Linked DNA regions of Styela clava. The protein of the gene in region 3 purifies or fractionates together with the protein of the main gene of each other region. This does not show direct contact. Links are inferred from orthologs where the notes say so. Each region holds a gene or a part of one and is shown on either strand. Other genes may lie near its edges. The genes, in order: uncharacterized protein LOC120342158, interleukin enhancer-binding factor 2 homolog, regulator of nonsense transcripts 1-like and 5'-3' exoribonuclease 1-like.

What was found.
Region 1: the proteins of regulator of nonsense transcripts 1-like (region 3) and uncharacterized protein LOC120342158 purify together in Homo sapiens (co-immunoprecipitation; 5 studies listed by BioGRID and IntAct, with this or other methods). This does not show direct contact. The link is inferred for Styela clava from reciprocal best matches to the Homo sapiens genes UPF1 and CASC3.
Region 2: the proteins of regulator of nonsense transcripts 1-like (region 3) and interleukin enhancer-binding factor 2 homolog purify together in Homo sapiens (affinity purification with mass spectrometry; 3 studies listed by BioGRID and IntAct, counting the BioPlex papers as one, with this or other methods). This does not show direct contact. The link is inferred for Styela clava from reciprocal best matches to the Homo sapiens genes UPF1 and ILF2.
Region 4: the proteins of regulator of nonsense transcripts 1-like (region 3) and 5'-3' exoribonuclease 1-like purify together in Homo sapiens (affinity purification with western blotting; 4 studies listed by BioGRID and IntAct, with this or other methods). This does not show direct contact. The link is inferred for Styela clava from reciprocal best matches to the Homo sapiens genes UPF1 and XRN1.

Annotation. Positions count from the first base shown.
Region 1 is NC_135252.1:6,798,933-6,806,428, forward strand, and holds the start of uncharacterized protein LOC120342158, read left to right. Parts: upstream 1-4,211; 5' UTR 4,212-4,311; coding exon 4,312-4,404; intron 4,405-4,847; coding exon 4,848-4,907; intron 4,908-6,669; coding exon 6,670-6,840; intron 6,841-7,422; coding exon 7,423-7,496. UniProt on the Homo sapiens protein: Required for pre-mRNA splicing as component of the spliceosome. Core component of the splicing-dependent multiprotein exon junction complex (EJC) deposited at splice junctions on mRNAs.
Region 2 is NC_135255.1:20,623,153-20,631,326, forward strand, and holds the start of interleukin enhancer-binding factor 2 homolog, read right to left. Parts: upstream 3,079-8,174; 5' UTR 2,987-3,078; coding exon 2,840-2,986; intron 1,974-2,839; coding exon 1,824-1,973; intron 1,307-1,823; coding exon 1,196-1,306; intron 1-1,195. UniProt on the Homo sapiens protein: Chromatin-interacting protein that forms a stable heterodimer with interleukin enhancer-binding factor 3/ILF3 and plays a role in several biological processes including transcription, innate immunity or cell growth.
Region 3 is NC_135257.1:5,899,057-5,906,827, forward strand, and holds the start of regulator of nonsense transcripts 1-like, read right to left. Parts: upstream 3,368-7,771; 5' UTR 3,293-3,367; coding exon 3,200-3,292; intron 2,851-3,199; coding exon 2,737-2,850; intron 2,285-2,736; coding exon 2,112-2,284; intron 1,295-2,111; coding exon 1,205-1,294; intron 280-1,204; coding exon 112-279; intron 1-111. Other genes in the region: growth hormone secretagogue receptor type 1-like, read right to left, coding at 7,056-7,236, 7,542-7,677. UniProt on the Homo sapiens protein: RNA-dependent helicase required for nonsense-mediated decay (NMD) of aberrant mRNAs containing premature stop codons and modulates the expression level of normal mRNAs.
Region 4 is NC_135252.1:5,380,848-5,389,109, forward strand, and holds the start of 5'-3' exoribonuclease 1-like, read left to right. Parts: upstream 1-5,031; 5' UTR 5,032-5,251; coding exon 5,252-5,326; intron 5,327-5,970; coding exon 5,971-6,102; intron 6,103-6,551; coding exon 6,552-6,652; intron 6,653-7,699; coding exon 7,700-7,907; intron 7,908-8,262. Other genes in the region: uncharacterized protein LOC144420883, read left to right, coding at 3,425-3,841. UniProt on the Homo sapiens protein: Major 5'-3' exoribonuclease involved in mRNA decay. Required for the 5'-3'-processing of the G4 tetraplex-containing DNA and RNA substrates. The kinetic of hydrolysis is faster for G4 RNA tetraplex than for G4 DNA tetraplex and monomeric RNA tetraplex.

The DNA.
Region 1 (7,496 bases), on a different chromosome or scaffold from region 3:
TGTGCAACGCGACCCGTTGACACCATGAACCACGTATACCATAAACGTCATTTAAATGCGCCATTCCGTTTTATGAATGCTATTTTATTAATTTTCCGCGGCTAATATTTGTCAGTTCGTTTGGAAAACGTTAACACTTACCAATCGAGGTTCCAATTATTTGCGCGATAAGAATCCTGTTCTTCCTGCGCTGCGTATTATAGCAGAGTCGCGCGTGTAGAATATACATTGAATTTGAAGCGCTACAATGTTTTTGCTTTTACAAAAGAAGGGAGGCTTGGAGGAGGCCCAGTCGGGAAGAAGTGATCAAAATACTGCAAATTTAGTTACTTTGAATATATTAAAAAATGAGAGCACTTCTAATCAGCCTATTGTTATATATATTGCATGGGTGGCGTTTTTTTCATTTTAAGCAAGATATATAAAGCACAAACAAAATAACATACCAATTTTTTTTTATTTTTGTTTTTGGGTACTGCTGACACTGTGGTTTACTACTGTTGTGGGCAAAAGAATACGTTTTCTCTCAGTTACCACTAAACTCTGTTTTCCTCTGTCACCTTTCTTTTGACACTCATTTTATGATGAATTGTTATGTTTGACTAATTTTATAACTTGTAGCGTCCGTGAGGTCTAGTGCTATTGTCAAAGAACAGCCAAGTCCGTCAAGTTGGGCTTTAGTAACCTACGTTAAAAAAACGGGATCGCGCGGCGCAAATTGATATATATATATATATATATATATGCGTTTTGTCACTGCTGTCATATGGCCCACGCTTGAAAATAGAGGTGTGTTTCACTAAAATAAAGGTACGAAACGTCTCTCCGGCAGATAAGGAGTTGCTTGACGCGAGTTGACATAACAAATCATTCTCCTTGGCTTCTACTACCTTTTATCTTATTGCTCCGCTCAATTTTCCTTTCACTTATCGCTCGATTATTTCGAAAAAAAACAAAGCGCGACGCTTTGACACGTACCGGTAATTCGCCTTGACGTTTATAGATACAATTTTGAAATTCGGGATTTCAACGAACCTAATTCCCCAATTGCAGTATAACAAAACATATCAACTTGGGTAAACGTGCATGAATTCGAACATCCATGACAATCACTCCTTCTACTTTTTAGTATCCATAAGTGCAGATTTCAGGATTTCACTCCAAAATGTGACGCATAACTAAATTAATGAAACAATCTCAGTTTCGTTCTTGAAGCAGTGTTAATTGGTCGTAGGCAAATGCTTTAAATTTTATTGATAAATCAAGCAGGGTGCCTTCCTTGATTTCTGCTATTAAAAATAACCACTCAAATTTATCGTATATTGTTTCGACCTGAATTGGATTTCAGGACTTGAGTAAACTCGGACTACAACCATTTCAATTGCCTTGTCTACTTTCTTACATATTCTGTTATTTATTCACTACTGCTTTTGCTTCAACAAAGTCCATACAACTTTCTACATCAAATATTAGTATATATGAACTGCCTCAGTGGTCAAAAATGAACGTGCTGTTTGGGGACAATGCCCAGTTTTTGGTTGTTAAATCGAAGTATTTCAACAATCATAGTACAGTGATACATCGTGTTTTGGATTCCGAATCAATAGCCCTGTATTCATTCAATGGAGCCGTCTTCAACGGTATGACATAGGTATTCTTGAACACTAGAGTTCATGAAAACAATCTGAAATTACATTGTTTTTGAAATTATAATGTCCAAAACTGTTGATTTAAATATGTAAATTCATGAATGCAGCGCCTCCACAGGATTATCATTTTTAAGGCGCTTAGCTTAGCAACATTTGGAATGAATATGGCTGGTAGCAGCAGTGCTGGTCATTAAAATTCTCGGAAAACCACCTATGATGCAATAATCTAGTTCTTACTAAGAAGAAGCTAAATAAAATACGAATGAGGCAATAATACACTCACTCATACACTGTATGCCGAAATGAAAAAAAACTGAAAAATGGAAAAAAAAAATTGTTTTGACAGACTTGAACCATCTTAATGCGACCCAATTTTACCGCTTGCGACCTATACTTTGGGAACCGCTGTGATGTGAATTATTAAAGAGTATTTGGCTCTATGCCTCCCTTTTTGTTAAATCCCAATGCTTCTGACAAGAACTGCTATAAGCTCGTTTGTTGCATTCCAAGAACATGGTACCAAATGTTCAATCCGGTGAAATGTTAATCAATATCATGGTAACCATTTTGATTCACGGGAGCCAGAGCTTCGAGAACAAAGAGCCGCATGTGGCTACGGAGTCGCAGGTTGCCGATCGCTGGTTTACAGCGTTGCTTATACTTCCAACCTAACTATATGCAGCGAATGCGCCCTTCTATCGCATAATAATCACATTCGTTTTGCCTATTTTGTGATCTGATAGTGAAGTTCACTCCAGCATTTCACGGATGTCTATAATAGACAATGAAGTGTGAATAAAATTAAAAATTATTTGCTCTGTCGCCGTCATCTAACAGAACTATCAGAAATACTACTTTATTATCCGGTTAACTGTCACGATAATATCAGATAGCAAAATACCTCTCGGGTAACCGGATATTCGTTATCCGGATAATCTGACGTTATGCTGGATCATCAGTGTGGATTTCTCGAATGAAAAAGTAATTACAAATTTTATGCATCGCTATAGATCTCGCTGCTACCATTGTATTTTTTAAACTGTTTTGTTAAAATTTGCAAGACTCACTCATATGCAGACATGAGACAAGAAGTAAATTAAAAATATTCTACTTCTACACTACACCAATCTACTGCCATGAAGAAATCGCTCAAACTGAAAGAACCAAAATGTTTAAAACCCAGTTTCTTAAAAATGTTTGATCGTAAATTAATTAGCCGAATATACTGTGATGCAGTAATATGCCAATAATGGAGAATGATGCCAAAATCTTATAATTGATTTAATTTTAAATAACTTGATTTCAGTAGTCGGAAAAATTAATATAGTTTCATAATGCTATCAATTTATCATGCTATCAAATGCAATAAAATGTTTATAAAGACATTGTAGTTTTGTTCTTCTCTGAACTTTATAGAATAGATTTGCTAGTTGTTCCTACCTGTATTCAATGCTCCATTATTGCAATATTAATTTTTGTACTACAGTAGGTAAAACTAAATTTTGGAAAATTGTATATAGCTCTTTTTTCTTACTTGGCAAGTTCATGATTCACATTCTCATTGATATTTATTTTGCCTTTTTTGTATCAGTCAAAATTATCTTCAGTGGTAGGTTGACCTTGCAGTCTTTGCCCGCCAATTATATTTTGTGCTTTTTTTCTTTGCAGTGTATAATTTCAATTGTTATGTATTCGGAAAGCAAGAGATCGAAAGACTGTTGGAAAACGAAGTTGTACGCTAATGCAAAGTGCAAACTGTCACAGTATTTTTCATACGTGAAAAATACTAACAAGGAAATGAACATGACCAAAACCAACGGCCGGCAAACAACTTGCCCAATGTTACCCAAGTTCATGTACGACATTTGTGCCATATTTGGGAAACGCGAAACAATGGAGTCTTATGGAAAATTTTTGTCGTGTTGTTGTACAGAACCGAATAAGTCAGCTATTAAAAGGGTTAGAATGAAGCCGAAGGGTGGACATAAACATTAAGCTTGATGCTACCTAAATATATGAAGCAATTAGAAATAAATAAAAAAGCTATACGTTAAATTTGGCCACAAACACAGAAACGCAAATGCAATAAAATGTCCAACAACCGGAACGCGGTTTCGTTGCGTTTCGACTACAGCTCCCCACTGAATGTAAATGTATTATAAATGTAATTTGGCAAACATAAAAGAATATCATCATGTTCGACTAAGATTCTACTTCAAAACGCGACCTTCAAAACATTTCTACCTAAAATATAAGTGAAAATAATTGGTATGTTTCAATAATTGTGTGCGAACTTTTCATAGGGCGCCTTGTTGGATGGCCGAGTATAATACGCACAAGATGGAATCCATTGTCTGAGCGTTGCCTCGCTTGTAATATATATACGCTTTGACCAAAACCAGCAACAACAACATAAAAAACAAAACGAATCATATCTACATTGGTGTCCAATAGATTATTATCTCTCCGTGTAAATTTCTCTAATTATCATAGTAAAATTTTGCCGAATTGGCTCATAGAGACTCATAGCACATCCGCGTCGTTTCAGGCTTTCAGCCACCAACAATCGTAAAGTTGTCGTTGTGTAGAAGCCTTTGGCACTGTTTCGACTTGAAGTCGATTTTGGGGTGTTCAATATAACATTGCTTACACAGATACAGGTATGTCACGCAGAAGGCGTCGTGAAGAAGATGTCAACGATTCGGAGGGCGAAGGTTTGGATGAAAAACCAGATGAGAAATCAATGAACGGCTCGGTAAGTACCGGTACCGTACCGATGGACCAGTGTGATTTGCAACAGCGGTACCGGCTCCTGGGCTAAGTGAATTCGTCAATATAATAAAAACTTAACTCTCGTCAGTTAAATACCTTTTAGTTTGTGGTCATGCGATGAAAAGAATAGTAAAGTCTGTAAGTAGTCTACTCAAACAGGAAAACAGTACCGGTATCAATGCGGATGATATTCGATGCTTCAGTTTTAAATTCTTGTAGTGAATGCAGGAATGGTATAATGAATGTCATATTTTGTAGCTATTTTAGTAAATCTGTATTTTTTACACTGGTTGAACTGAACTAAGTGAAACCTCAAAACAGTTGTGTTTTATTCCAGTACTGTATTCCGGGAATGATTTATTAATATAGATTGGTGATTTCTTTGGATTTATGATTTTCGTTGAATATCTTTTAACCATATTTTAGGAATCTGATATTGATGACGATGACCTCGACGTATCGGAATATGAAAGCGTAGATGAAGAGGTAGCTCATTATATTTAACAGTTATAATTGCATTAATCAACACACTTCACACATCAGCACATACCTATTTAAAGACATCAATTATAAGCATGAATACAAACTTCTACGTTGCGGGTCAGCCTGGCGGTGTGGTCCTTCCATGTTGCCACTATATGGCACACCGTTAAATATAAAGAAAGCTAATTTATTGTCAATTAAAATCAAAAATTTTTTAGAAAAAATTTATTCCACAGAAAAAATATTTTACTGTAGCATTCAAGAGTTTTAATTGAAAAAACAACAAATGGGAACAAATTTCATACACACAGATCACGAGATCTCACGCATCTGCTTTGGTGCCAGACGCCATATCTCGAGAGTATTTGTTTTATGTTTTATATATCTGAATATTGGAACATTCTTCGAGAACATGTGCTATAACAGGGCTTTTCAACTATTTTTATCGAAGGTCCGCAAACAAAACTTCAAAATTATTTGGGTCCGGTCTTCCAGAAATGATATTTCGGCATCCTTAAACGAGCACTTCCTCGACTGACTAATGATTAGTAGCAAATTAAAATTGTTCATTATGGTGTTATAGTTCTTTTCGTATATATTCAAAACTGTGAAAGTCATTTTATAATAGGAAATTCAAAAAGTGGGGCTAATGATCCAAAATAAATAATTAAGTGCGGTCCAAATCCAATACTCGAAAGGTCCGGATTCGGACCGCGGTCCGCCAGTTGAGTAGCCCTGTGCTATAACATGTATTAGAGAATCTATTATGTCATATTTTCCAAATATGAATTGGTTAGATGATTTCCAATCATTTTTTCCATCTAATTTTAGATATATTTTTCTGTAAATCATGAATGCCAAAGCGTTTCCAGACCGGGGCATGATTTTATAGTTTTCGGGAATTTTACTTTGTATTTTTATGTAGTAAGCCTTTTACTAACTTGTTTAGCTATTGTATTACATTCATATGGACAAATTATATGTAGGCCTACATGGAATTGTATAAAAGCCACAGAGGCTTGCGAGTATCAATAGAGAAGAACCTTATAAAACATAACAACAATTGTCGATTGGTAACAGAGTTTTTCTGTGTTTTGAGGGAAGAATGAGGAGTTTTATTAAAAATAGGCAAAGAGAGGAGTGTATCGAAAAAACTTCTCAACCACTCGATCTGTCTATTTGAATCTTAGACTGTTTAGAACAGGGGTTCCCAACCTGGGGTACTTGGATGGCAGTCGTGTTTTTGTGTTTTTTTTTTTTCAATGTCCTCTAACTGAGAAAAACTAAGTAACTACCAAAGGTAAATGTTTGCCAATTGAAACTCTGCATAGATTTTCCTGTATCTTGCGTTGTTGTGATTGTGACGCAACAATGTGAAATGCACGGCTTTGCAGCCAAACTGTGAAATCTCAGAAGACAATGTGCTGCGATCATTGCAGAAAGTGATATGCATATCGAAATTTGAAGAGGTTACAAGAATTCATTAGTTAGGCGTAGGACAAGGGTAATAACATTAACGCGAACAGTTAATTTAGTCACAGCAGTTGGTCAATAAATTGTCGTAGCAGCAAATTGTCAGACAATATATCACAACTTTGTTTGGTTTCTGATTACTGAGGGTTCGCGTTGATTGTTTCGTGACTCGGGGGGTAAAAAGGTTGAGAACTCCTGGTTTGGAAGAACCATGCGTCTTTTCTATTTTCGCTTTACTCGACCCGGGCTTTCTCTCTCGGTTTATATTAATATTGTTTTTTTTCCTATTTAGGCTCGGCATTCAATAGATGAAGAATTTGAAGAAGACGACCCTGGAGGAGAACAACCAGAAAATGATAACGAAAAAGTAAAGGAAGATCAAGGCAAAGAACATGAAAACATAGAAATAAAACGGGAAAATGAAGAAGTTTCTGAAACTATAAGAGAGAGTGGTGATGGAAAAGTACGTGTGGTTGTTTCTCAAACATTTAATCTATCTTTGGTTTGGGTTCAGAAATCAATAGCTTTGAATTTATTTTGACTAATACTAAACAGATGGTACTAGGACATTGTGTATTAAACTGCATGTCCTTTCATTGAACTGTAGGTTCTTTCTCCGGTACTCCCATAGTGTGTGTACCAGGATAGGATTAGGACATAATTTTATTCAGATTTTCCTTATTTCAGTTCTATTATAAGTTAGGGGACTGTCTGTGTTAGCCAAATGAATATACCAAACGCCCATAGGTTTCAATCCCTTTACACAACTTGAGGTAAAAAAGGCGAACAAAATTAGTTACCTCCATATTGGTACACGCACTTCTGGAGCGCCCTTTCTCCTTGTCTACCTCCTGCTTCGAATTCTTGTGTCCTTTGCCACAAGGATGCCCAAACAATATTCTATTAAAGTGATGAATAACGGATTTTTCCCACAAAATAGCCAGTATATTGTGAGCTTTCGTTAGATCATAGTATATATTAGTTTCATTATCTACCAGTGTATTAATCATTTATTTATCGTGTAATTTTTTATCTCAAATAACAGGAGCAATCTGATAATGAGCAACACAAGCAAGAAGGAAATTTAGAAGCTGATAACGAAGAAAAAGAAAGATTGAG
Region 2 (8,174 bases), on a different chromosome or scaffold from region 3:
TTATTTTGTTACATTTCGTATGACTAAAATCAAAACTACTATGAAATACAGGGTGTCCATAAAGTCCCTTTGTATTTTGCTATGAAAACAGGTCTCAATATATCTCAACCAGGTTTGTTGTCTTTTAATCAGTAATTGTTTAGGTATTTTTACTTTATTCAATACATCTGTGAGGGCCAAAACAATGTATAGCATCGATAAATTCCGTTTGCAATTTTATAAATTTTAGAACTTTACGGACACCCTATAAACTTTTTGAGTAATTGTATTGCCGTGCCTTTAAAACGCTTGTAACACTTGACAAGAGTTTCCTAAATTAGCAAAGTTGATTTATGTGCATGTTCATTGCACAACATTCAGTATTTTACGAATGTCATGGTTATATTCAGAAACATGCAAAATTTTATTATTCTGTGATAAGATTTCCATTTTTATTTAGAGAAAAAGAGAGGGGAAAACCAGTAAGATGACTCTACTAAAATGATGAAGCCCCGTCTCTCAACTGGATACCAGTCAACGTTTTGAATAAATAAATCTGATATTCCAAATTTTTGTGTTTAACCTAAACGAGGTAGGACAACAAAAGCGCCTAATATATGGCAAACCGTGGCCTCGCCCATGTCACAGAGAAATAATATTACATGACAAACTGTTTCTTAGTTAGAATAGTCTTGAAATATAAAGCAATATAAGAAGATTGCTTGTTTGCCGCCTGAGCTCGAACCGGGGATCTTCCATGTGTAAAGCGAACGTGGTAACCATTGCACTACAGAGAAAGATCTATTAATATAAAGATATTCAATCTACATAAAAGTTGTATATTTTGGTCCCAATTCCAAACTATTTATTTCCGATCTATTAGGTTGGTTGCATCACAAGTTAAAATCTAGAATAATAAAGGTAATCTAGTTAATAAATTTGGAATGTAATGTCTGACCAGAAAGAAAAGGACTTTAGAATCAGTAAATTCATGTGTAACAGTGAAGTTTGTTTAAAACGGAGGTGCATAAAACGATTTGGTATGAGAAAAACTTTAACACAGCTAGATGTCTGAAGTTATATGGCCCACCTACAAAAATGTTGTATAATCCTCATCAAAATGATATTCAAAATAGCTTTTAACATAATAGTGCCAACTTTCACAATGTTTTGTTCAGAGTGGAAACAGTTCTTTCATAATAAGAAAATTGTTAACCTTTTCTGCTAGTTGTTTGACAATCTCTTTCGTTGGTAAAGTTTTCAGAATAATGACAACTTCAGCTAAGTTGTTGCCTTTTGTCATTGTTCCTTTCTTGAAGTCTCCGACCTATGAAAGAATAAAATAATGAGCTATGGCTGAAAAGAAATATACTTATTCAAAAAGAAAGTAGGAGAAATCTACACTATACTAAGATTTGAAACTTGAACATTTAAAAATTTATTATTATCCAAAATTTCTAATTGCCAACATAAGACTATAACAGCTAGCAAGTCCAGTCCGACGCATCTCCCCTGGCTCTGAATATAATGAGTTTAAAAATACAACTCTGTCCCTGACTAAAATATTGATAAAGCATACATAGCTCAGTTGGGGATTCAGAAAAGTCACTCAAATCAAAAAAAAATAATAGTTCCGAGTGAGTGACGCTTGTCCAGAATTTTGTTTAAAAAAGAGATGGAAAATCTCGTAATTCTCTACTTCATAATTTTGTTTCTGATAGATGAAAGTAAAATACATCTCCCCAAATAAGCCCTATTGTTATTTTTCGAGAGAAAATTAAAATAATACCCCGTCTCAATTTCGTGGAAACACGATAGTAGCCCAAGAACTTAACAAAACTTACTTGTCTGCATTCATCAACTTGAATATCAAACCCAGCAGGCTGTGATACAATGATGGAATCGATTGCATTGCATATTTTAGTCACGAACGACAGTATTGACGCTTGCTCTTCCGAAGTCACGTTCAAGTCTTGGTTTCGTTTTATTAGAGCCTGTAGGAAAGTGAGTTAAAAATAATTACTGTTTGAAATAATATGATAGATATCAAATTTTTGATAAAACAGGCTTTCAAAATAGAAATTCCTGTATTGAAAAATTAGAATAGTGGAAATAACGATTCAGAAATGTTATGATTATTAGGTAAAAAAAAATGTTGAATTAGACTCCCCATATCGAAGAAAAAACAGTAAGCATTTTATGATAAAAAAATATTTATATATTAAAACTGAGGATGAATGATACGAGTTATTTGATTTAAAAAAACAAACAGTCCACGAGTCTCAGAGACGAGGAGCATATGGCATGACGGCAGATGCGTCTTATTGCACCATGCTCGTCTCGATAACAATCTAAATCGGGGCATTTAGATTAGTGCAACCTCATTAGGATAGGATTTACATATTTATCCCAGGGGAGAGGAAAGCCGATAAGACGGCTTATCCATATGGCGAACCACGGCCTCTCGTCCGGTTACCATTCCAAGTTGGGTATCGGAAAAGTTATATTATTTCGTTTTCGGGAGCATGGACTTGGTGGTGGAGGAAGCCGTAACCGACCAGCGATTACGTGAACCACCCAACGACGGCGAGGAGTCCAGCAATCCTCTCGCACATAACCATCCCTACATGGGATTCAAACCTGCGAACCCACGTAGAGTAATTAGAGGTGCGGTGGCGAGCGTATTCCTAACGCTTAGCCCGTTGAGCCACACCGCCACGCCTAATATGATATATTTTTACCGATATTGATAAAAAACGATCTCCTGACGTCCCCGAAAAGAGGGTGTTTGCTCATCAACAGAATGGAATTCTCTAAAACGAGACAATGACTCTCGATCTGTAAAGTGTGCCGTACTGACCTGGGTAAAAGCTTCGTCATCAGGTGCTGGCTTCACTCTTGGGAAAGCTTGTTCACACATCACAAAATCAAATGGAATGTGAGGCACAAACACTCTGTTTGTTCCACGATGCATTCCACCCCGTCCACGTCCTCCTCGACCTCTCATTTTGATGTTTTGTCAAGTTAATTTAGAAAATTTTATATTTAAATTCCTAGACTTTTCAGATTTGAAATCATAGGATTGAGAAAAAATCATGAAATTGTATGACCGGCATTGGTAACGGTAGCTAATTTATTGGACTCTGGAACCAAATACCGGTACAGGAATACCGGTACCAGAATACCGTGAACTACCTATACACAAATTCAATAGGGTAGAATTCTTGAAAGCTATCGTACCGTATCCAGGTATCGGTACTCTGGTGGGCTATGGTACTGTTAGCAATAGCCCTAGCGCATCTCATTCGAGAGTGAGAAATTAATTTTTCAATAGACGCCTAATTACGCCTTTAGTTCACGTAATATTCTACATTAGCGGCCACCAACTTTAGCAACAAGCGCGGATCAAAGGAGAAATCGAGACTACGGGAAGTCATCCAGTGAAATAATAAATAAATGTACAGAAATTATGGCAACAATTTTTTTTTATTCATTCACTAATATAATTCTCGAATAGAATTATTGCTTCGGCTAATTTTTTGCAGTATATATATATATTTCATAACGTCAAGGTTTTACATAGAAAACGTTTCGTGATATTTTTCAAATGTGGCAACTCAATGCAGAAGTTGATCACGCGTGATGGTAACGTATCGACAGTCATAACCTTTGACCTGTCGCATTAGTTTAGTAAAAAAAAGAGGTGACACTAGTTGTCCCTATAGTGGTGGTAGCATAAAAGTCATATTGGGGATGGCAGAATAGGGATGGCAAAATACGGTCGAAAGGTGGCAGATTAGGGATGGCAAAATAGGGTCGAAAAGTCATATTGGGGATGGCGAAATGCGGTCGAAGCGTGGCAGATTAGGGATGGCAAAATGCGGTCGAATGGTGGCAGATTAGGGATGGCAAAATGCGGTCGAAGCGTGGTGGCAGATTAGGGATGGCAAAATGCGGTCGAAGCGTAGTGGCAGATCAGGGATGGCAAAATGCGGTCGAATTGTGTTGGCAGATTAGGGATGGCGACGTTTGAGAAAGTGAAGGGCATGGTGTCAGTGTTACCGTACCGTATACCGGTACCGTACGAACATTTTAAGGTTCTTAAGTTTAGCATGATGTAGCCTGAATGTATCTGCATATGCCAGAGTTACCAGACTTGGACTTTTAATTACTATGGTAACGGTAGACTACCGGTACCGTATCATCGGACTACCGGTATGCCTTCGCGGTAGAATTATTGTGTGGCAAGATGTAGGCACGAACACGGTATGTCAAATTGGGACTGGTAGCCTACCAGTAACATTGCAGCATTGTGTGGAGCAAGCGATAAACTAAAAAGTGAAACTGCTAAAGACATTTGACTGTTTGAGTGAACTCCGCAGACCTAAGCAAAATGTTAATATGCATTCTAACTATTTGATACCGGTATATTTAATTGCTGAATTCAGGAATTGTCTAACTTCAAATTAGCAGTGGTGTGGCTCTTCGTGCTAAGCCTGTAAGCGGAATAAGCTTGGCATCGCACCTCTTATTACTTACACTATGTCAGTCTGTGTAGGTTCGCAGGTTTAAATGTGGAGATCGTTAGGAATACGCTCGTCACCCCATGGTTATGTGCGAGAGGATTACTGGACTCCTCGTCGCAGTTGGGTGGTTCACATAACCGCTGGTCGGTTACAGCTTCCTCCACCATCTGGTCCATTATCTCTCTCCTGGGATAGATATGTACCTAGATAGATCCTATCGTTAATCCGAGCGAGACACATATCATGTTAATTAACTGTAGTAAAAGTCACTAAAAGCCCGAACTTCCAATTCCATTATAAAATTTGATCGTAAATGACATTAAGTCTATAATGACTACTTGAAACTCTGTCAAGTATTTTGATATAATTTCAGATATGAAGATTAAGGTTATCTAGTCTTTAGGGATATTTCTGCAATGACTGAAGTGAGTCTATTTGTGCCAGAAAGGGGATCAAGAACTTTATAGTTTGCACTTTCAACAAGAGAGCGATGCTCAAATATATGGACACGCAGCCTGAGCGAAGCAGTAGACAAGCTTACCTTTGACGGTTCGCTAAACACTAGAAGCACCAATGTTCGCTGACCTCGTGACTCGCTCGCACAATGAACCGCCACATGGTGGCAATTTTTGATGAGGTCATAGCACAAAAGAAATGAATTCCATGCAGCTCTCAGAAATATTGGAAATATATGAAAGTAATAGCCTTCCGGCAAATCAATCTTAAACCATTGAAAATTTCAAAGCAATTCGTCCAGTAATCAACAAGAAAAGCGGTTTTTCAATATGTGTCAAAGAACAACAACATAATAACAAAACGATCCATATGTCCACTACATGCCCACAAATGAATTGTGACATGGGACTTAATATAGTTTTATCTCCAAAACTATCTCTGTACTTCAAAACTGTGTTTTGAAGTTGATGACCGGCTCACATACTCCACTGTGTATTGGTTCAATCTGCAAATATTCTGAAACTTGAGAATGTTTATGAATTTGAAGTGCTGAAACTTACGTTTCAGTTCAGATTTGGTATCATTGCTGATCATTGCTTCGGACAATTCATTAAAAAGAGATAATAATCGTTCAGCTGATAGAGGTTCCTATTTTGTTATAGTAACTTTACCCTGGTACAAAAATGTATTGAAGATACTTTCTAACACAATAGCTTCGTGTAGTATTTCACTAGTTCTTTGAATATGATTATGTTCAAATTTCATAAAGGAACCATTCTAATCTAGTAATATTTAATATTTATTCAGCATTTTAGCTTATAAGGCAAATGTTAAATGAGAAATCAGACCTAAACTTGTTATTTGTAAAAGGCATATAAAACATTAAACTTTAGTGTATGTTTGCTAATCCATATGTTAGTAAGAGTTGTTTATTTGCCATAATTGCTTCTATTAAAATAATTTTCCTATTTTTGTTAATGTAACTTGGATCAATCATAAAAATCACTCTCATTGTTAATCTTGTTTTATAGTTTATTTATTGCTACTGTTTTTTATGCAAACTGTATTCCAATTGTTGCATCCAAGGTTATCCATCCAGCTAATCTAAACATTTTTATGACAGATCAACTTTTTCATAGATTTCACCTAATAGCACATAGTCAGCCCTATAGTTATCATTTTATTTACACAAACATTTGAAAGAGTGCATTCTCCTGGTCTGATCCTTTACTTCCACAAATATTTTATCATTTCGACTTGCCACTAGTATGCAATCTCACTTACTTTTGTGATTTCCATTTTCGTGTCTTGAAGACATTCTCATAAAAGTCAGTTCCTAACCCTACCTAAAATCACTGAGATCACACAATCGCTGAGATTGAATACCTTTATATGTTTAATAGGTGCTCCCGTGTGTGCATCCCGTCCCAGCAAGTGCACCAAGATGGCACACAGCCTGAACATAGTATGTGTACTAGGTTAGGGTTATCAGGTTTTACGCCATCTCAGTGCACATACTACGGAAGCGTCGTTTAATAACCTAATAGCTCTATTTGTGCTACTGTTCAAATTAATGTCACTGACTTCAACTTGTGTACACAAATTCCAAATATTTATTTTTTTCTTCCAATAACGTGCAACATACTAAATTGTATTTGTTTGAGATTACATTTTTCCAAGATACAGAATTATGTTTTAATTTGCTTTCAGTATTTTTTGCCAATTATTAAACACTATTTATGGGGACTGTAGCATTTGTGTACACGATATTATATACTTTGTCTAGTCCTTGTTTGTTTTGAAGTCAATCAATAAGATGTGATTTTCATTCATGAATCATAACCACTTTGTACTAATGCATTGTCTGCAATCCTAAAATAACTCTGCTAAATTTCTCTGCTACTACTCCATACTGTGTTATTTTGTTCTTGTTATAAGATAAACTTGTTATTTATGTGGGTGGGTGCATATGCTGTTATATATATTCTATAATGAACTTCCTGATTACTTTCTGTAGCAATAGTTTTCAGTGTGTAATCTTGAAAGCTTGCAGTGAAAATATGAATATGTCTTCCCCCAGATAATGTCCTAGCATTTACTAAGTCCTTTGGTTAAGTTCATGTTTTAATATGCCAAACTATGCATGGAAACACATGTAATTGTGTGACAACATTTCGAATCAATATGATATACTGGTGTTATATGCTTTCATTATTATAAAATATTATAAATTAATTTCTCAAAATGTAATAATTTTTTATTGGTTGGATATCCCAATTTTTGTGTTCACATTTTGAACCTTACTGTAAATGATGTAGGATTTCCCATTTTGCATTTATACCCGATATCTTTATAGCATCATGTCATCTCAAATTATGTGCTTCATGTTATCTCACAATGTCATCTCTTTATTTCGGTTCCATTACATTTGAACCCACGTACATTTGAACCCATGACAATTGCACCTGTATGCTATTGCACCTATGGAATTTTTTTTGTTTCACGGATAGTTAAACCCATACTAACCCTAACCCATGGGTTTTAGCACCCGCATGTAGATTGAACCCGTGGATATACGCATGGGTTCAAATGTACATGGGTTCAAATGTACGGTCACCCTTTATTTCCGTTTATAACTTCTTTCTTGCGCGCATGTATGAATAAACATGCATGGTTCACTAACATTTGCATGTTTTCTCATGAATGTCCTGCTTGTAATTTTCTTAAAAGCAGAATGAAAAACTATTGTAATTTATAATTTAACATTGGTGTTCTTTCTTCTATTTTTATTAATTCCCTGTAATCAGAGAAATGCTGATGCTGACACTATTGCTGATACTAAGCACTCCAATTAGCATTTATCCCTCACTCTCTATGCCTTCCAATGTCATATATTTCTTGTTGCTTGTGAACGGTATTTCTTCAAAAACGGGAATATTCAATTCATCACTTTCATTAGGTGCTGTATACATGATTCATTCTGGCCATTTGAAGGAATATACTCTCACTCTCATGTCAGTGCGCTTTCGTTTCTATAATATAAAACTTTCAAAATCATATCATATTACATGAGCCAACTTCAATGTTGCTCAATTTTGAAATGATTGATGATGATGATTTTTTTAAACCTACTTAGTGACAACAACTAGACCATTATAGACCATTATACCACTTTTTAATGGCTTATACCTTACTTTGAGTCCTTCACCATTT
Region 3 (7,771 bases):
AGTAGATTACTTTGTTTTCATCCTCAAATATCCATGCATTATCTTACTGCCAATAGTTAATTATAAAGATTTCTGAAATGAAATATGAAAATCATATGGAGAATAAAATACCTGCACAAAAGAACAACAACAGAATCTGCTTTAGCAGGTATGAATCCAAGAAGAAACACATTGCGACATCCACAATTATAACATTCCAACACAGAATCACCGAGCTGACCATCACGATGAAGAGTGACCTCCTTGCATTTGGCTCTCACCAGATGATTCACAATATGACTGTAAACAAAGCAAATATAGGTGATGGATTTCAATATTATAAATCTTTGTATTGGAAGTATATAAAATACCTTTGATTTAAAATTTTAGTACAAAAAATGGATTTCAATAATATAAATCCTTGTATTGAAGTAGGCTACATAAAATATCTTTGATTTGGATTTTGTTCAAACCATTAATATCCTTTGAACACAGGGATAGTTTATTCCCTGGCACTGCCTTATACAGCCAAAATAATATACCTGAATTTAACCTTAATTATTTGATCAATTTATTAAAGACAGTAAAGGGTAAGATGACAAACTCATAATATTTTGCAACATAGCACACCAAAAATTTCAAATGGACTCGAAATATCTGAATCAATTTATCACTTAATACTCGCTTCAGAGAAAACAAATACAAACAATATCAGAGTAAAAAAATTGATTGCTTGTTCATATCATATTTGATTAGAATAACTAATCTACTTTTCAACAGATTATTAATGCAAAAAGTAAGCATAAAATCAATATAATAAGCTGATAAATCTATACTCCATAACAGAGATTGCACATAACAATTGTGAATCTGAAATAATAACTCATTCAAAATCACTAATTGATTGCAATTATTGTGTATGACATTTTTCTAGTAGTAAGGACAACTGTAAAATAAATTGTACAAATAAAAATTGAGATGGACAAAACAAAGTAAATTTTATTTCTTACAAAATATAAATATCAAATATGGTGATTTTGAAGTATTGCTCAAGTGTCTATTATTAAACCTGGATGATATGGTATGTTAAATCACGATCGAACTGGAGCATTAAGCAAATACTGAAATTTAAAAAAAAAACGGCTGAGGGTAACCAGAAATTAGTAATTAACCCTTGCAAATCAATGATTCGAAGAAAAAATAATTTTATAAAATATCATGTTACCTTCCTGAAGTATTTCCACGGCCATTGCAAAACCATTTCTTTGTTGTATTACACATCACAACACAGTTAGGATCATGAATTCCACAATACCTAAAAATTACAGTTGTTAATGCGACAAACCTTTTGATATATACCTAATTCTTATATGAATATATATTCAGGAAAATAGTGATGGTGAGTTTAATAATAAATGATGATATTAATAAATATGAAAGGCTTCTTTTTATACAGCAGTCTCGAAAATTGCCTGGAATTTTTCTCATAGCACCTCAAGGATGGCCACAACTTATTTTTCATTTTCATATTTCTCATTTGAACAGATGCGAAAATACGAGAAAGCGGGTTTAATAAGCAGCATCTAGGTAGAAAGCTTAATGATTTGTCAATCATATTAGCCCCAGATGTGTTTGAGCAACCTCTTTCACCTTATTTCACTGAGTAGGAGTATTAAGCTAATTACATGAATTTTAAAAATCTGTCTGTACCGAACAGTCTGTATGATGAAATTTAAACAGTACTGCAGGCTGACCCTACATAATAATAACAAAGCTTATATGCATAATCAAATCATTATTTGGCAAGAATTGAACTAATGAACTGAATTTAACTCATGTCAAAATGCAGTATTTTATGATTAATTCAGGGTGATCGTTTCTCTTCACATAGGAGGCACAGGCACAAAATTTAGTAGATATTGCTGCTAAGAAATATGTGTAAGTAACATAAACTTCTATCATTTTATTAAATATATTACTAGGCGCTATGAGGCCTATGCTTGACAAACAAAATTTTTTCATAAAATTATCCCCACTGTTTGAAATCAGGAAACAAAAACAGATAAAATAATAATAAAAGCTCCGAGCATTCAATTATTTTTTAATCATGTGCTTGTTAATAAAAAATTCACCTGCAAGCATGTTCGGGAAGATCCTTAGTATAATAAGTATCTTCTTCGTCTTCTTCCTCAAATCTCAGATCAGCAACCCCCTGGGTGGCAACATGAATATGTTCTTGTAATCCACCAATATCTTCACCATCCCCCACTTCTTCATTGTGATTGACTCCATCTACATCACCAACCTTAATGGAGATAAAACTTGATAATATTTGGTCTGCGGGTTTGACAACCCTGATCTAGATAATTCGTAGTTGAGAGAAATCACAAAAAAAAGATTGAGAAATTGATTTCGAGTTCTTCTACCAGAAGCAGTCCTGATAGTATTGGTATAATGTTCACTGCTCATTGATGATTATAAAACACGAGTACGCAGTTGTCAAACATATCGTTTGCATATGACTCTGTCGAATTGAAATATAAACGAGATCACTCACATTGTCAAGCCAATGCTAAACAAAATCACAAATTATAACAAAAGAGCAGAATTGAATGAAAAATTATTCTTGTATGAAGTCGTAGGCAAACTTCATCATTGTTTCAAGATTAACACAGTCATTTCTGGTTATAATTCTCCCAACTTATTACCATGTTAAAATACTTTTAGCATATGACTTATAATGGAATAAAGAGTTACCTGACTCTGACTGTTCTCTGCAATATCAAGTTGGCTTGCTTGACTTTGCTGTGTCTGAGTTTGCGTCTGGGTTTGGGATGGAATTGTGAAGTCTGTGAACTCATATTCACTTGCCTGAATAACAGAATTTTTTTGAATATTACTTTGTGATACTGTAGCAATTTTTACTTTAAGCAATTCTGTATTTAAAAACACAGTTAAATCATGATTAAATCAATGAATTGATAAGAGCAACTCACAGTAGCAAAGTATTAGTTTTATTAAAACTTGAATAAATATGTCTATAATTATATATTTATGCCTATAACTGTATCAGAGTTATAAGTTGCACCCCATCCACTTGATTCAGACCGTAACCAATTACAAAATAATTTTCAAGTTGTACTGTGTCCTGAGAGGTGAAGTGCAGTTGATTCCGGTTGTTTTGATATATTTAAAATAATTTCAAACAAGCGTCTCTCACCTGGGTATCTCCTCCAACAGTCAAATCGCCATCTTCTGTGTCCAAAAATGTCAGAGTTTGGGAACTTGGCCCATATGCATCAACGCTGCTCATTACAATCAGAAACTGTCCTCGCTATTTCACAATTTCAGTTTTATCTGTATATATCTGATTCAAATTCAAATTTTTACTGAACTAATTTATGGCAACGTTTAAATAACCAGAATGGGAAAGAATAACAGTCTAGTTCTTCCCAGTAATAAACCTGGTCTAATTTAGACCCATCGATAGTCAAACATGTAGCTTTGTGAGTAATATGTTCGAGTAATAGTACGACACAGTTCTCCTATTCCAAGAATAGACTCTACATCCAGACATCAATTATACTACTGTACTAATGAAGTGAGTGCAGACTTCTTCTTTATGAGGAAGTCTGGGCCTCCCTATTGGCAAACAGACACCGCGCAATAAAATGGAAGGAAGCGTGATTTAAAAACGTTACCATTCGATTCCTCGAAACAAAAAATCAGATTTAATGGAGGAAAAAAATTTTACAGTAGAATTTTGGCGGCTGAAGCATGTTAAATTATTATAGATACATGCCGTGATCTGCCGCAGTGCCAGACGCCCTCATTTCAGAGACTATTAATAGAGTATTATTTTTTATTGAAATAAAGTACCGGATTCCAAATAATTAAATATAGGGACATTTTGTAATGCTGTAATGCTGTAATGGGAGAACTGTGTCTTTTATCTTTACTTTCTGAGTTTTAGGCAACTTCTTCAAGGAAATAGACTATTCTGAAACTTCGCTGTTTGTGATAGATATTTATTGAGATTTTGTTTCTGTTTAATTATCTGTTACTGTTTAGTTATCATGCAGATATTGTTACATTTTTGAGGCAAATAAACATCGGTCTCACTACCGTACTTACTGAATAGAGCGCGAAACAGCGCAGAAGAGAGGGAAAGTGCGTGAAAAACAGCGCAGAAGAGAGGGAAACATTTTTCTTTCATGTGCACCAAGCTAGCGCACAACCTGAACGCAGTAGGTTAGGGTGCGTCATGTGAGGCTATTTAAAGATGTTGAAGATTAATGATATAAACTCGTGATCATTCCCTACTACAGTACTACTGTATACCGCTACTGCTTCCCATCAAATTGTTTAAAATTTCACGAAAGCTAATAAACAATGAAAGAAAATGTTTCCCCATCTCTTCTGCGCTCTATTCAGTACCGTAAGTAATAAGACCCAATAAACATACATAGTCTACATATCAAGACAGCAAGAGAAGGATACTGGTACCGGTATTGTGTGCATCTTTTTGGCACTTTTGTTTAATTATTTCAATATTAATTGGCTTATTAAAGATGATGACAGCTGATCAATTTATAGATTCGTTTACTGTACTAAGTGCAGAAGTGTCTGTACTGCTGTATGTCAAAACATAGTCTATAAACTGATAAACAAGCAATTTCCTCCCATACAGTACTGTGCCTAATACCACTAATATACCGGTAATGTTTATCTGTGTTTTCGAACACAAACAGGACAGGAGCACCGCCTGACCGTGGATCAATCCTAAATCTGAACGGCCTTTCAGCATTTGTCTCTAAGTTACGGTATCTGAACAGAATTGTCTGTTATCTTCTGCAATGCCCAGGTCGCAAGTGATAGGCTACTAAAAACATCGCGTAGGCTAATTCTGTATCGGTACCGGTACTACCTAATTCAGTAGGGGTTTCTGCTCGCATAGGCACCGGTCGCAGTTTAACAGATAACGTTAAATCTGACAAACTGGGGGAAGTTCCGTAACCTTCTGGCAAATATCAGCAGAATGTCCAACTAAAAAACACCACCTAATGGAAGAGTATCCAACTGCATGATCATATGGTGTAAACGCAATGTGTAAACGAGGTTTAGAATGTTGCGCAAGTACACTTCCATAAACATACGCTGAATGACTTCACCATTCTCGAGCAAGAACGAAACGTACTTGAGATTGAGACTCGAAATTGTTTATAACTCGAAAAATTCAAATTTAGCATAGCCTCAATGACGACACAATGCATTTTTATTACATCACTACATATTCAACAATTATATAAATGAAATATAGATTGATGATAACAGAGCACGTGCCGAGGGCGAGGTAAGCAAGCCGTGGTTTTATTGCCCGCGGGTTATGAGTTTTTCTGGCGTTTCTGGTTTTATGGGGGTTATCGCGAATTATGGAAAAGCGCAATTATGTCATCATCATTTTATTAGAATGCGAATGTCTTCTTCTTCTTTATTAATATTATTTGCAATGTCTTTCTAGCCTAAGTTTAGTTACTGGTCACAGTCTCTAAATGTTAGGTATAAACGACGCAAAATGTACCATCTGGGAAAAAAATTATGTCACAAATGGAAGTCCATGAATGGATAAGATTTACATATTTATCCTGGGGGAGAGGAAAGCCGATAAGACGGTTTAATCATATGGCGAATCATGGAATCTCGTCCGGTTAACAGTCCATGTGGTTTATGGAATCAGTTATTTTTTGTTTTCAGATGCATGGACTTGTGGAGTTCTTGGAATATCACAATCTTAAGAATTAGCTGAAGCCGTACACGTCAATGACTAAAACCGGTGAAGGGTATGAATAATTATTGGCATAAACTACGGGTCGGCACTCGGCAACCTTCAGTATTGTAGAAGCCATTTTTCCATCAACTTCAAACCTGCTCGGAGCCACATGTTGCGATAATGATGAAATGGAAAGAACTTGTTGGGGTACATGGGCTCGGCAATGTGGCGCATCGTGCTAAGCGTTAGGAATACGCTTGCCACCGCATCTCTGATTACCTTGCGTGGGTTTGCAGGTCCGAATCCCATGCGGGGATGATTATGTGCGAGAGAATTGCTGGACTCCTCGCCGCCGTAGGGTGGTTCACGTAACCGCTCGTCCGTTACGCCTCCTCCGCCATCAAGTCCATGCTTCCGAAAACAAATAACTGGCTAACCAATCCCATACCCGACCTGAAATGGTAACCGGACGAGAGACCGTGGTTCGGACTATGATTAAGTCGTCTTATCGACTTTCCTCTCTCCCGGGATAAATATGTAAATCCTATCCTATGTCGCACATCTGTGTCTTAGGCCAGTAAGGTCTTGAACATGTATCCCGTCTCTGTTATACCGTTTAATTATTATGCAAATATTGTTACATTTTTGAGGCAAACAAACATACATACATATATACATTGTAAAATGAAAAGAGAAAGTTTGTTTTGACAGATTGAATCCCCGTAATGCGACCCATTTTTACTGCTCGCGACTTCTACTTTGGGAACCGCAATTTTGTGGCATTTACACCGAGACATCAATTCCACGTATTTTTCAACACCAGTTTGTTCTAATCTCGAACGATTGGCCAAAAACCCGACGTTTCCTCACCATCAATATTTCATTCTCCAAATGAACCAACTGCGATAGATGAAACTCACGCTTACCTAGCTTGGATACCTTCGACAGCGAAGTAAGGTTGTGCAGAGTCAAAACATCGTTAGATATCAGTGGCTGCTTTATCTAGCCTTGTTCTGAGCAAAAGACACGAGTAAGCATTGTTCGTATTACGTCATTGTACAAGACAAAAGTTTGCCCCCTTTTCCACAATAAGAATTTGGCTGGCTACGGTATTGATCATATTTTAGTACGTTCATTCCTGCACTGAAATTAAGAGTTTCTGATGTGTTTTCATAAGTCATAAGAATATACACTCGGGTCAATTCGACGAAGCAGATATATTATATACACACGAACAAGACATATAAACAACACATTGCTATAAAATGAATAATACATTCACATTCAATTCTATCTCATCAAAGGGCTACATTCTTATCGCCATATCTGGGTTATATGAGTTGGTTGTGACTCCCGTGTACATTTCATATTTGACACCCAGCTTATATCCGGTGGTGTTTAATTTACACAACGGTAACGCTTGTTTTTCTGACATTTTCTTCTTTTGTTTCTGATACGTTGATGCTGTCTGACGATTCGTAGTTTTTCTGTATTTTCAGAAAACGTTTAGTTCTTTTTCTCAGTGGGCTGTATGAATAAGAAATTTAGTTTTCAATTTCATTCTGCTAATTCATAACCGCCGAAATTGGATGGTAAGAAATATAAACACTGTTTGCGATCTGCAACTTTTTGTCAGGTGATACCAGGAATGCAGGAAATAACCACTTTTAAGAATTAGATAGTCTATCATAATGTTCTACCCCGATAAAATTTTGAATTTCAGGTTAGGCTTGATCTGGTCCGTTCGAACTCTACAGAATGGCTTTATTTTTTAAGCATAGAAAAAACTTACCGGGATGACAGGTTGTAAAAAAGTGGATTAAGGCATTCTGATATTCGCAATAGAATATATGCGACTGTGAGAGTCAACCATTTCGTTCGCACAGTGAAGAGGTCCCTCAGATTCAATATTTTTGTCATGCGGTAGGCTAAAATAATGCAGAATCAATCTTATGGTATTTAATGAACAATTTCACCTTGGAACCTGAGACAAGTTAACAAATAAATAAAAATGAATAAGAA
Region 4 (8,262 bases), on a different chromosome or scaffold from region 3:
CTAAATTTCGATTACTGCAATTAAACTAAAACTCCTGAGACTGTAATAATACAAAATGATTATTGTATTGAAAGATTTGATTCATACTTCTGTACCTAAATTTTCCAAACACAACTAAAAACTAACAAATAGAATTAAAAGATGCGAAAAACGGGGCAACGTTTACAACCACGCCTTGATGCGAAAAGGCCTATTGTTACGTCACTTTTTGCATGTTGCTGGTTGGCCAATGTTCCGAAGTAAATAAGGACAGTAAGGGAGTAGATACTCGGGGAAACATCCATTAGCCAATTTTTCTGAGACGATCGTAAAATAGAAAATATATTTTTGACATAAATAGTCCCAATGACCAGCTTACATGCAGTGTAAAAAAAACTTAATTGAATACCACAGTCTGACAGTACCGGTACCATGCTACCGGTACCGGTATGTGGTTCTTGAGAGCATAAAGTTGTTTGCTTTTTGCATGTACCACATGCACTTCTAGTTGGCCTGGCAGTGGCGCAATAAAGACCTCCAAAGTCGTCCAAAACGCGTAGACGATCACCCATAATCTAGCAAGCTATTTCTCTTGTTTTCTCGTCGCGACCAAAGTGATCCCGATATGAGAGAGACCACTGGCGTTAGTGAGTTCGTTATCGACGGCGCAGATGCTGTTTTGGGCGATCTTAGTTATAATTTGACAAGCTTTATAACGTGATTGTGACGTCGTAATGACGTAATTTTTGGATGACATAGTCAGGTGATGGTTAGGAATACGGTAACATATGCAAAATTCGTTACGCTACGACCACCGGAAGTACTTGTGGTACTAAACTATACTAGACTCCGTATGCCGGCTTGCAGGTCTGTTGTAGTGCTGAATGTATCTAGGGTTGCCAACCGTCCTTTATTTCAAAGGACAATCCTTTAATTACTGAATTAAGCTTTTCGGTCCTTGTCCTTTTTAGCATTTAGAAAAGATGCTGATTGTCCTTTATTCTTTCCAACGTCGTTTTGCCCGGAGGAGTAAAAATCGCCTCCGTTTATGTATTTGCAAGCTTTGAATTATTCTTTTTAATTTCGCTTTAGTCCGGCTCAAATAGCCAAATAAATAACAATTTTATTAACATTGTTTGGGCCAATGTTAAATACACATTAAATGAAAAACACATGAAGATTGCTTCAATATATCTTTTTAGCTTGTATATAATTCTTATTTCATTGTTTATATTGTACTTTCCTGCAAGTTACAAAATAAATGATGACGATAATTTATGTCCTTTATTGAAACTTTTCATAGTTGGCAACCCTAAATGTATCCCTTTTTTATGAGATCAGGAGATTGACTCAACCCAGCGAACTTTTTTGAAGTTACCACCTTCAGACATTGTGACACTGTTAGTGTTTTTCCCATTGTACTGTATTATTTAGGAGGCGCATGTTCACAAGCACTTACGTGGTAATTCGTAAAGGTTAGCACTTCATCAGTTACTTTTTTTCTGTTACTTTGCATATGTCTTAATTAACTGTTATGAAACTTTGAGGAAATTCAGAAATTATCTGTTAGCTCTCAATGAACCCTTATTTTTGCAAACAACTCCACTGTCAGACTATACTCCTATAAGCTTTGTCAGCTTTTATAACAGTGAAATCAATCAATCATTTTGGTTCTCTGACATAAACAATACAAAAAGTAAACAGACAAACAAAATGCAGAGATACTTTGGAGACGGGCATAACTTGAAAAAAGTTAAAAAGTGTACAATGTACATGCCCGCCCAGCAAAAAAGAATAGAACAACCACAGAAAAACGTGATTTACAATCGGGCAGTACTTTAAAAGCAAGTTAACAAAAACAGCAAATTGAAGTGAATAATTGAATGTAATAAACTTCTACCTTTTAAATTGAAATGTGCGACGTGTATGGGCTATGGGTGCCATGCCAAGTGACACTACAGGACAATTCCCAGAAATTTTGCACGTTGTTAGATGCAATATATTTTTACATTTTCAGCTACATGTTTTTGTTTCATTGTCCAATCAATTGCTTCATTGAATACTGGAATATGGAAAAAATTGCACAAAAGTTACACACGAGACTTACTAAAAAATACAGTAAAATATAGCGTGACACTAGAGGACGGAAAATCCACCATGGATTAACGTTACATTGTGTTGTGCTGTAAATTTTTGTGATGGCACGGCAGGAGCCCATAATATTTTCTGGTGCAGTAGCTGAAGGACCCCCCTATGTGTTGCTCAAGTTACTTAATGTAACACTGTAAATCTATGCCAATAATGTTCATCTTGTATGTGACACTGCAGGACGTGACATTACAAGACATTTTTCCACTTTGGAACAGCGGCCTCTATCATCTCTTAAAATCCTGGTAATAAATCGTTAAATGGGTGAGAAAAAGCCCTAGAGCACTGCAATCATTTAAACTTTGTTAACTTAAATCCAGTGCGTCTATTTCATATGAAATAACTGTATCACACAAACACTTTGTGTCAGGAATCATCACGAAATATGTCAATTATACCAGAATTTCTACATTTCAGGCCATTATTTTTATAAACTATCAAAAACCTGGGTGAAATTTCAACTTTTTCGGTGAAATGGATGCAGTCCATGAATTTCTAATGTTTTTTGATATAAAAAAATTCAAAAAAATTACTTTCACTAAACTTTAGAAAAATTTGATGAAATTCAACTTTTGCTTGGAATGGCCCGTATGTGTAACACAACAGTGCTTTTCCTACGAAAAACATGGAACAAAAAACACTTCCTGATGCAAAATGGTGGTGCTGTAGGCCTAGGTCAATTTCATTGCAAAAACAACACAGTGACAAAAAATTGTTCCTAAAAAAACAAGCTTGGTAAATAGATTGAATGTTCCATAGCAGTCTATGCACAAGTCATGGATTGGGGAATCGGGTTCTTTTGTCGTTTTCGATTAGTTCAATTTAAAATCATTGTATCCGTTCCAATGCATCCAACGTCAATATCAAATTTCCACGAACGACCACTACTCCAAAAGGTGCAGTGGTCCCATCTTTTCTGCGCTCCCTTCCATCATCAACAACCAGTTTCATAAAAGGATCGAAACCTCGCAATATACCCGTAACAGATCGTCCACCATTTAACTTTAAATCCAATCTTTTATTCATAAATCATGGCATTGTTCTGATATTGTTTGCTTGCAGAAATATTTTTCCATTTCTATTTGCTTCACAAAATTATTGTTAAATAATGAAATAAACAGTACACTATATTTTAGTATTTTGGCATATTCCAAGTATTCACTCTTACAATAGTCTGATAGTGGTACCGCCTTTATATCCAGATATATTATACAAGTAGATCTGGAGAATGTATTTAATCATTCCTTACTTGTTTAGTTAGCAAAATATTTTTTTAGTAATTAGAAAATAGATAATCATGGAAGAAGCATTAAACAAGTTCGAAACTATGGTTGGATCGGCAGAGAAGAAATTGGACAATATTGAAAAGAAAATTGATGCTGAGTTTTCTAAACATTTAAATTGTGAAGATGATGATGACGATGATGCCGAGAATAAATTATCTCTTTTGAAAAAATTAGAAGAAGTCAAAGCAGAATATTCAACCTTGTGTAAAGAAGCGGCAGAAGTGAGCACAGCGCAAAGACAGATGGCTGAAGCATTTCAACAAGAACTTTTAGCTCAAGTTAAGCAGTTACAAATGCTCCAAGATCGTGGTTTTACTGGATCTGATAGAAGATTAGATGGTGACGCAGAAGCTGCTGTAAATACTTTTGTTCAAAAATCTGATGGACAAGATAGTAGTTTAATGCAAAGTGCAAATGAAACACGATGATACAGGTTTTGTTAACAGCAAACTATAATATAGCTTTGATAATAATGCACTTGGATCATTAAAATGTATCTCATTGTCACAAGACTGTCAAAGTAAAATGGAACGAAGATCTGGTGATATGCCTTGTACTGTTGTATGATAAGAGTTACATAGTACACTGCCAATAGAATAAAAAGTTCACTGAAGTCCTAAAATCCCTATGTAATTCGTGGATAAACTTCTATTTTACATGACATACGGTAAATGGATATTATCCACAAAAATGTACAATACAGTATATTTTATCAGTTATATGATAAAGTTAATATTGCATATTATGACAGAGAAACAATAACTACTGAACGTTTTCGAAGTGAATTCAAAATATTGTCAAAAGTAATTGATACGTTCTATGTTGGAACAATTTGTGAGATATATTTAGTTTTAAACTTAACTTCTATTATTGAATTATTGATAGTTTTCATGTAGTGGACTATTACGGTAATTGCTTCTCGCATATACTTTGGAGATCCAAACTCCATCTATACACTGTACAGACATCTGTACCCCAATACAGGAATTCCAAGAATAGTAAGATGGCCTTCTAAGCTACACTTTTGGGTATTATCAAATAATTTGAAATATTAATAATAGTCAATATATAGAAGTCTAATTTCATCAAGGTTTCAAGTTTGTGGTTGTTTGGAAATCTTACCTTTCATGATTTTTTCTTTTTGGCGTAGTAGCTATATACAAAGCTTTTATGAAGTGCTTTAACACTTCACACTTGATGTCAATTATCAACATTTACTGTAGTCTGTGTTATGTTCATGGACATCATTTTTGTCATAGGCACTATTGTGTTCACAGAGATATGTGAGATATGGGTGAGGCTCAATTCAATTGTTATCTGTGTTTTGTAACTGACAGTCGACAAAAATTTGAAGGTCATATTAAATTTCTTGAAACGCTGAACTTTTAGTCATGGTTATTTCAACATTCAATAAATGCCGGTTTTGTGTGTTTTTTTAACTACTTTCACTTATTTTTCATGATATTCATGAAGCGTTGGGTTTTACATTTTGTAATCAAACTAGGCTTTGATGACGAGAACATGGGTGTTTCCAAGTTTTATCGATGGATCAGTGTTGGATGTTATTTTTGTCATAGGCGCTATTGTGTTCACAGAGATATGTGAGATATGGGTGAGGCTCAATTCAATTGTTATCTGTGTTTTGTAACTGATAGTCGACAAAAATTTGAAGGTCATATTAAATTTCTTGAAACGCTAAACTTTTAGTCATGGTTATTTCAACATTCAATAAATGCCGGTTTTGTGTGTTTTTTTACCTACTTTTACTTATTTTCATGATATTCATGAAGCGTTAGGTTTTATATTTTGTAATCATATTAGGCTTTGATAACTAGAACATGGGTGTTCCCAAGTTTTATCGATGGATCAGTGAAAGATATCCGTGCCTCAGTGAAGTGGTGAAAGAATATCAGGTTTATTGCTATTAAGTTACTTATTATGATACTATGTTCAAATTTTCAAACTGCTATAGGAATAGCATATTGCCGTTGTCCAATAATATTGTGATGTATTAATATCAAAATCATGGTTTATCTTGTTGTGAATCAGAGAGTGACACAAAATAATATTGTAATAGCGTTTTGAAAAATAGATTTTTGGATTCACGCTGTGTCCTTGGTTAGAAAAATGCTAGCTAGTTGTCTATCTAGATCAGGAGTGTGCAACCTTTAATACAGGAGGGCCAGATACAAATAACTTGGTGAAACTGCGGGCTGCACCTGTATTTGACATAGGCTTTCTAGTAGTTGCAGGCACAAAATTCTTGATTATCTGATCTCATGACATGCGAACTACAAACTAGCTGTTAGTGCACTGTAACGTCATATGCTGGGCGTTGCAGCGCAAAGGGATTGGAATTACTTGCACTCACCAGATTAAACTAAATTAAAACTCGTTTCTCTGACCGCACATCATTCAAAATTGGAACTTCTCTGCGAGCCGCACAAGTTTTCCTTGTGGTCCGCAGGTTGCACACCCCTGATCTAAATCAATAGAATCTATTTGTTTGGATTATCCAATATGTATATTGATTCACTATTTGAATTTATTATTTTAGGTTCCAGAGTTTGACAATCTGTATTTGGATATGAATGGTATCATTCATGTTTGTTCACATCCAAATGATGATGATCCTCATTTTCGAATTACCGAAGAGCAAATCTTTAAAGATATATTTCACTATATAGAGGTACTTGCTGTGCAAATTCTTTACTTCAAAGTTCATTGTTTATTTCAGTCTGTATGATTGCGATGTCTACTATATTTGATATATAGCACATAGTATAATCTTAAAAAAGCGTCTAAAATGAGCAATTAACGTAGGATATGTTGACCAAAAAAGGGTTCTCTCCACTTTTTATAACCGTGTGTTGTTTTAAATAAAAACTCAATATAATTTTCTGTATTTTGACGAAATTTCTTTCTCTAAACTTGACCATATTCGGAAATATTCAAAATTTTCATACATAGACTTTATTCAAAACATATTTTATAGTATGGTGTTTACCAGCAAGCCTGCCATATGGACAGTGCCTTAAACTTCTTGACATTGGCTAGCTTTAAAAATAGAGATTGACAGAAAATGCTTTTGTATTAAAATTTCAATAAAAATCCTTTCAAAATTTCATGTATGTACAGGTTTTATTTCGTATTGTTCGTCCAAGAAAAGTGTTTTTCATGGCAGTCGATGGTGTCGCTCCACGTGCAAAAATGAACCAACAAAGAGGCAGAAGATTTAGGTTGCACAAATTATTCATGTTTACAATGTTTTTTTCTTTATTGCAAGTAATCCATGTAACCGTGTAACATTTGTTCAAGCAGAAGTTGTGTTGTATTACAGTGCTGCCATGTCCAAAACAAATAGAATATTTTTGATTACATTCAAAGCACACAGAGAAAACAATGACCTTTTATATTTGTGTCGTTTTAGATGTGATCAACAATGTAATTTCCGACATAAACTTTCCCCAATTTAGAATGTAGTCGATATTTCATATTCAGAAGTCATTTCTCTGAATGTATTCGAAATAGTAAAATATTCGGTTTTAGCCATCCCTGGCACTAACTCTTCCTGTCTGGTAGTCAGCATGGTCACAAAGAATCTATCTATATCAGTGGTTCGCAACTTTTTTCGATACATTCCTCTTTTTGCCTAGTCTGGCTAGGTTGCACAGTTTGAATAGGCTTTATAGTTTGTTCATAATTATGGATTACAAGGATATTGAATGAATGAACAATACTAGTAAAACTACATCGAATACAAAGTAATATTTTTGTATCTCCTTCCCGAAAACAACAAAAATTTCTCCCTGGAGATGAATTCTTTCTCGGCTGGGAAACACTGGGCGGGCTAAATAGTAGCTGATTTTATCTAATCATACTCTTTATTGGTATAGTGCTGACATGGGCAAACTACAGCCCGCAGGCCAAATCCGTTGGGTAATTTAATCCTGCCTGCCTGATGCTGCCACAACCAAACTAAAACCAAATTTTGATGTTTTAGCTAAAGATGAACTCAAGAAATTTGGTGAAATTTCGATTACATTTAGTTTTGGCACAAGCCCTATTGTTTTCCACATTTGCTTTTGTAACACTGTAAATATTGTTCATAAAATGTAACTTTTTACGTCACACTTAAGTGGCTCGTCAGTGTTGGTGAGCAAATATTTTGCCCCCCGGTCCAAAAACGTTGCCCACCCCTGGTATAGTGTGTTTAGGGAAAATTCAACTTATCAACTCTACAAGTTTCTCTATAAACTGAATGCTATACCTCTTTGACAAATCAGATCAGCCAAAGAAGCAGAAGAAAATATTCAAAAGGCATTGAAAAAGGGTGAAGTCCTACCTGATGCCAAAAGATTTGATTCAAATTGCATTACACCTGGTACTAAATTTATGGTTAAACTTCAAGAGCAACTTGAATATATGGTGAAGAGCAAAGTGACTACAGACCCAGCATGGCAAGGAATCAGGATTTATCTGTCTGGTCATGAGGTGTGTTGAAAATCAGAATTATCATATTTAAATTATGAATAATCTTTGTGGGTGCTCTTTATTGTGAAGGGTTGCCATGGCACGATACACATCTCTGGTTCAAATTCCATGACCACCATCTGATCCGGGGAAAGCTTTCGGTCTTTCCAAAAATAATAGCTCCTCACTAACGTTAGATATCGGTGGATGCTTGCACAGGGCATTTTTCAGAGGGAAACGAGTGAATATCTATGTTTGAAAATGTTACTAGATGTCATGTAGATAGACATTTACATATTCGTTTTTAGTTCTTCCATTATTTGACTAGATTTCATAATTTTTTGCGATGAGTGTCCTAATTGAGTGTACGAAATAT